2 linked regions of the Tribolium castaneum genome follow. The protein of the gene in region 1 interacts with the protein of each later gene in a biochemical or structural test. Links are inferred from orthologs where the notes say so. Each region holds a gene or a part of one and is shown on either strand. Other genes may lie near its edges.

Region 1 (3,803 bases):
AAAGAAAGACATCTCTATTAACAATAGTGTGGCGTACATTAATAAAAAATAGTATGAGAAATCACATAGTAAAAAATGAAACGAAAGTAATAATTCCATTTAAAAATTAACCTACACGTAGGGCAGAACATCCGAATTAGTAATAAATTTAAACTTGCATTTTGTGCAATTTCTTGCATTAATTTGAGAAGAGGCTGCGTTAAAATAAAGCGAAAATATCATGCTTAAATCTCAGTTTTATTACGAATAGTCATTCACTTTTTTAACTAAACAAGAAGAAATATTTGAAACATCAATATTCGAGGAAATAGGTATTAGCTTAGATATTTCTTAGATATTATCAGCTGTTTCAAAACTATAAAAACGCGAGTGTCGCATTTTAAAGAATATTTTTTTAAATAAGATTGATAAAAATATAAAATAGTTATTAATGAAATTATAAATTTCTCATCGAAATTATAAATTACATTAACTATTAATTTTTTTAAGTTTAAGTGCATAAATAATTTATAACAATGCGACGTTGGCGTTTTTATAATTTTGAAACAGCTAATAGCTATATAGTTTGTTTTGATAAGATTCCATGAAGTCGGTAAAATTTTAATTGTGGAGTCATAAGGTGAAAATATAAAATATTATTTTTTTTATAAAATTTATAAAGGCTATTCAGTTATTTGAATTTTTGTGCAATTTTTTGTATTAATTTATTAATTAATTTCTGCGTTAAATAAAGCCAAAGTAGCATATTTAAGCCTCAGTTTCATTAATTGTCTATTATTTGAACTTAAAACAAAAGATATTTGTTAAAAAAAACGAAATATTTGAGGAAATATTTAGTTTAGTTTAGTTATTTTGTGTACGTGTTGAATACAAGATGTTTTTTCACGAGTGCCTGGACCACCACATTGACTTAAAAATTGCTTAATTATGAACAGACGTCATGCTCACTTTTGATAAGATGCCATAAGCGATCATTTGTTCCGAATTCTTGAGTTATATTTTCATTTATTTATAATTTAACCGATAAATGGCGTTTTTCTCGGCATTTTTGAGCACATCCTAAGTGATTTCTCCAAGCCGCTATTTGTAATTTCATTTGCGCCTTGCTTCCGTTTAAATAAATTTGGTTCCGTCGGCAGGTAAAAAAGGGCGCCGGCTCTAAAACCCTCCCTTCGAATAACTCTCCCTCCCGGACGGTGGAATCCCCCAGTATGGCGCGTCGTCAAGCCGCCGATCCCTCCGAAGCCATCGGCACCGCCGTCGTCAAGTACAATTATCAAGCCCAACAACCCGACGAACTTTCCCTCGTCAAAGGTTCCCGAATTCTCATCTTGGAGAAGAGCAACGACGGCTGGTGGCGAGGTCAGAGCGGGAACGTCGCCGGCTGGTTCCCTTCGAACTACACCCAGGAGGAGGGCGACGCCGACGATACCCTTCACACGTACGCGATGGCAGAAAACGTGCTAGATATCGTCGTGGCGTTGTATTCGTTCTCGTCGACAAACGACCAGGAGTTGTCTTTTGAAAAGGGCGACCGATTGGAGATTTTAGATCGGCCTCCGAGTGATCCCGAATGGTACAAAGCGAGGAATGCGCAAGGACAGGTCGGCTTGGTGCCGAGGAATTACCTGCAGGAGTTGTCCGAGTATTTGACTCAGCCGTTTCTCGACCGAAAACAGGAGCCGATGGAGAGGTCGCAAGTGGCAATGGGCGATAAACCCCATCTGGTGGACAAGCCGTGGTATTATGGGAGTATCACGAGGTATATGTGTGATAATCTCCTGAATCAGAGAGGACACGATGGGGATTTTCTCATCAGGGATAGTGAAACGAATGTAAGTACAGTTGAACCTCTATAGCCCGAACTACGACACGACATACAAATAAAACGGCCCAGTTCCGTTATCGTTATAGTCTTTAAATCGAAATGTTATGGAAAAGCTTAAAAATGTTTAGTCAAAGAATTAAAAACAATTAAATTTCAATAAATTCTCAAGAGTAAGGGATGAAGGTGATGCAGTCGAAAAATATATTAACACTACGAAGACAAATGTTGGGTAAAAAGTAGCCACAAATAATTTTTTTGTTGATAATTTTAAAACGTCTCTTTAAGAAAAACGAAAAATTGGCAAAACAACTATAGTTTGTGAAAAATGTAATCGACAAGCTGAAAAAGAATTAGAGTAAAATGTTGTATTAAAAACTGTGTCTTTTTATAAAATAAGACCAAATAAGTACTATTTTATACGTTTAGTTAACGAATTTGAACATAAAATTATAATTTTTAAAATATGAGTGGTTGGGTATTTTGTAGCCAACTTTGGTGTATAACAATTTACTGAAAAAACTTCCTAGGAATAAAAACAAAATTTATGCTTTTATCAATTTACGCACTATCCCGTATCAAAAAAAGTGTAAGAAATTTGTAAAAAGTCAGCAAAACTGTTTCTCTACAGCCACTAAGACCTTAAACGTTCAAGCTAGTTGAACATAAGATTCCCTGAGGAATTTTAAATTAATTGAGTCATGATAAAAGTTAGGGAATTCCTCACCGAATTTTACTTTTTCTTTTAATTTGATTGTCGATAAAATGCACTAATTTTACCTCTGACTATGTATTAGTCTTTAGTTTAGAGGAGACTAAAGCACCTACTTATAATAAAATAATAAAGATAATAAATAATGATAATAAAAAATGTTCCGCCAGAGTTTTATAAGTTTATTTTTAGAAGATTAGAAACTTTATTTAAGTGTCAAAAAAGTTGGAAAAAAACAGAAATTAAGTATTAAAATCTGGTGACTTAAGACACATTTTATATTAATTCCTACAGCAGGGACATAATTTTTATTGCAATAAATTCCATTCCGAAATACGTAAAACACTTAAAATTGCACAAAAAAGCTAAGGAGAAGTTAACTAAACGTTGATCTTAAATATTGTTCTAAATTTGCTGTTGTAAAATCTGTCCTTTTTTCTGTAAGAATTCATCTCTACCTAAAAAATGAATTCATTGTATGGAATTACCGCTAGAAATATATATTACTAAAATCACGCACCTGTGTATTACGATTATTTTTTATTCAATTAATATTTCTATTTTTGGTTAGATTTTTATATCCATAATTATTTTATACAATTTGTCACTAACTAATTTTTCCACTCCTGAAGTACTTTTTTCACGTGTTCAATGGCTTCAACAAGTTACAGGTTTTTTTTGCTATTTTATAAATAGCATAAACTAAAATTTTAAAGTGAGAAAGTAAATAACATTTCAAAATGGCTTGACTAAAATACTCGTAATGCTATGCTTTTGCAACGGCTCATGAATCTTTAGTAATAAAAGGCAGTGCAACATTAAAAAATAATACGACCAGTATTTCCAACTGAAAAGTAGAAAAATAAAAAATTCAAACACTGACATTCTAAGAAACTTTAACGCTTCGAAACTAAAAAGATAAAATGAACTGAGACTGAAATTCTGAAGAATAAGTGAATAAGTGAAAAACTAATTGAAAAGCTGAAAAACTTAGAAACTGAAAAGATGAAATACAAAAAAACTAAAAACCAGTGAAATTAAAATTCCAGTTCTGTAGAACTAGAAAGAGTGAGAAATGAAAAAGTATAAAACTGCAAAATAAGAAACATTAAGAAATTATAAAACTGAAATTATGTATAAGATAATAGAATCACAAAAAATTATGAAAAATTTGGAAAATGGATTTGGAAATGGATATAAAATATGGGGAAGCTAAGAAACAAAAAATCTGAAATACTGAGAAACTTAAAAACTGTGCGACTGTAA
Region 2 (3,253 bases), on another chromosome or scaffold:
ATCCAGATTCGAGCCCTACGGTAGGTGGAAATAAAGAAAACCTTTCCTATTTTTCCACTTTTCCAGACTCATCCTTGAACTATCCCTCCTATTATCCAAATTCCAAGCACAAAACTTGAAAATTGAATTAATTATTAGGAAAATCATATAATCGTGGATAATGAACCGGAAGACGGAGTTGCATCCGATTCGGACGATGACGGACCGCCTCCTCTCCCACCACCCCGGTTAGACAGTCTGAAGAAACAAAACGGTACTCCTTTAGACAGGCCGCTTCCAAATATCCCCAAGAGCATCTCCTTGAACGAGTTTAGTTACGAAGGCGATAGTGATGAGGTAAGTCAAGTGGGCTGTTTTGTGACACGTTTTAAATGTCTGTTGTGTTAAAAATGAAACTAAATTTTACGTAATTAAATAACAAAATGCTGTTGCGTTCCATGAGGCAAATTAGTTTTGTCAGTCCCGACGACAATTTGAGACTTCCTCGCGTACGAAGCAACTTTACGCTTTGTCGCAATTATTTTCAGTGGTGTTTTTATTGTAGTACATTCCGACCGGTCCGTTGCCTGTGGTTCCCGGTGACGAAGAAGAGGGCTCTAGTGAAGATGAGTTGGAGGATTTGCGTTCCGATAGTCCGTGTTCGGAGCCTGTGAGCCCCTCAGACAGGTAAAACAGCCCCCTTGCAGTTGGGAGTGAATCAATGAGTAATTTTAGTTTGTCGGCGTCCGAGTTGAGGCATCGCAAACGCGTGGAGCAAAGAGAAAAGTTGGAGGCCCAAGTGAGAGACATGAAACGGCGGCAGCAAGCCAACGAGCAGTGGACACAACTGAAGAGGTCTCTATACAAACCTTTATTTATAGCGGGCGCTATTGTTTTGGGCGGGGGCCTCATTTCCTATTTTTATTTTAAAAATTAAACAGAAAACAAGACATGTGTGTTAAGTCTATTAATGGTGAGAGCTGTTTTTGATTGGTTATCCGAGTTTCTCGACACGTACCCGGTTCAACGTTATAGTTTTTAAATTTTATGTATATTAGTCACAACTGTTTTTGGTAGCACTGATGGACTTTATTTCAAAGTTGTAATGAGAAACGGACCCTTGGTATATCACAGTTTCTGGATTACATATCAAGCTATTGTCTTATTATCTATTATGTTTTATTGAGGATGTAGCGATTTTTTTGTAATATTTATTTGCGTAAATCTTTACGATTCATGTTGGGAGTAAATGTTTTTAATGTTACCACGGATTTGAGAGCTTTTCCATTAAAACGCCATTACATCACACATCTGCAGCAGTTTTTGTTTATTTTAACATTTTCATTACTAATTTATTGCCACTCGGGTGGGATTAACATTAAAAATCATTTAGCCACAACTGGGGAACGATTACGGTCCTAAATACTGGGATGCGACACAATAAAAAATGCGTATTTGACGGTGAGTACAAGACAGTACAGGCAAATAGAGCATCACATTCTCAATAGTAAGACGTAAAAATTGCTCGAAAACTAACCAATTTGCGCACCCCGCCCCCAAAACGCTGCGAATACGGTTGAAGATACAAAAAAACATAAGGAAAAAAGTTGTAAAGAATTAAAAAAAAAGACTCAGAGACCATATCTTTATCTTCAACCCTTTCGGTTTAAATTGCTTTGAATGAGTTTTTCTTAGCTTATTAAGAATTTGATGCTCGATGTTCTGCCTGTGGTGAATTTAAATTAATTGAAAACAACTCGCCCCCATTTTTATTCGGGTACCGAAAATCGAGTTTTGTATCACATTCCTGGTATTTAGTTTAATTTGTGAAATTGAGTACTTTTAATTGCATTTCACTTCCTTTAATCATTGTGTAAGTAGGTATATATGCTGTATCGAGAGTGTAGAAGAAAAATATAACTTGTAGTGGAACGAGTGGGTAAGAAAAAGACTGAGAGATTACCGCCAAGCATTCCTTTTTGTTACGTGATCAAAAGTTTAATATTTTGGTGGTAGTCGTAACATGTTGAGTTGGTTTCGCATTCACTGAATGGTCATAGTTTTATATGTGTGGATTCATATAAGACTTGATGTTGAGTGATGGCTGACACAAGTTTTCCATCGGAACACTTGTGTAGGCCATCATGAATTACAGTAGGTACGTCTTATTGGTTTATTAATCAAATTACAGGGTGCTTATTGACAAAATTGATGCACAAAGCATTTTTACCAATTTATAAGAGTTTTCTATCTTCAGAAAAACGAGACAAAATTTTCTAAGGATTTTATACCTTATTTACACATTCCTTTTAAGTGCCTACGAAATGCTGTTATAACTGCGTCGACAATATGAATTTGATTGTGTTGTTACTATGATTTAAATTAGAATGTGACAATCGGTTTGAAGTTTGTTTATATCTGGACCGCCGATTATTTGTGATTGATTAATATTTTCTCAAGAATTTTATGGATATTCAATAAATACATTGAAAAATTATAACAGATTGTTTAATATACCTGAGTTTCTTCTTTCAGGGCTAAAACTTCACTTCAAGACTGACATTTGAACTTTTTCTGGAGAAGACTGGACTTTGATACATTCAGATTAGTTGAAGATAAGTTCTGCGGTCTTACTTTTTAGTAAAACTAGTCAAAATTTCTAGGTATGTTCGTCTTACTAGCATGTTAAGTATCTGATTGTTTGCGCCATTGCGATGTCAATTTTCGCGTTAGCTGTTGTAATCGCCTGGTTTTATACATAGTTAGCAGAAGCGCAGCTAATTGTCCAAAAATTGCCATCCTGTATTAACTAGCGTTTTGTACCCAAATGTGCAACGATATACTCTAAAAAATAGTTAGTGTCCCTCGTTTTATAAAACATTTGAAACAAAAATGTCAATCTAAATTTGTCACAATAGTGTACTGTGTAATGGTATTGTTCTCTTTATACATAACTGTAACAGCCACGTTGTTAGTACAAAGTTTTAATAGTGCCGGAAGAACTAACTTTCAAATTTATGCGAATCCTCTCCAGGAGTATCAACGAATTGCCTTTCCGCAATCAAAAGATAGTGTAAGACCATTTGTAAGCAATAAAAATGATGTTTTTAATAGAGCCTTATTCATTAAGAACACGAACAAAAATCGCTTAAACTTTAACGAAATCACACAAGCGCTCAGTAGACTGCTTGAAAAGGTCGCTTCTCCGATGAACCAACGGAAAAGAGATACGATTATCAAAGCCAAAAAAGCTTACCGGCACTTATCCAGGCCC

The links.
Region 2: the proteins of dock (region 1) and Ptp61F form a complex in vitro, tested with the Drosophila melanogaster proteins (2 studies listed by BioGRID, with this or other methods). The link is inferred for Tribolium castaneum from reciprocal best matches to the Drosophila melanogaster genes dock and Ptp61F.

What each region holds. Positions count from the first base shown.
Region 1 is NC_087398.1:11,595,712-11,599,514, forward strand, and holds part of dock (SH2/SH3 adapter protein dreadlocks), read left to right. Parts: intron 1-1,139; coding exon 1,140-1,835; intron 1,836-3,803. UniProt on the Drosophila melanogaster protein: Adapter protein that links cell surface receptor tyrosine phosphorylation to downstream signaling pathways and effectors, many of which are involved in regulation of the actin cytoskeleton.
Region 2 is NC_087394.1:35,291,801-35,295,053, reverse strand, and holds the end of Ptp61F (tyrosine-protein phosphatase non-receptor type 61F), read left to right. Parts: coding exon 1-20; intron 21-138; coding exon 139-336; intron 337-544; coding exon 545-666; intron 667-714; coding exon 715-916; 3' UTR 917-2,479; downstream 2,480-3,253. UniProt on the Drosophila melanogaster protein: Non-receptor protein tyrosine phosphatase. Required for maintaining dock/dreadlocks in its non-phosphorylated state. Negative regulator of InR/insulin-like receptor signaling through dephosphorylation of tyrosines when recruited by dock/dreadlocks.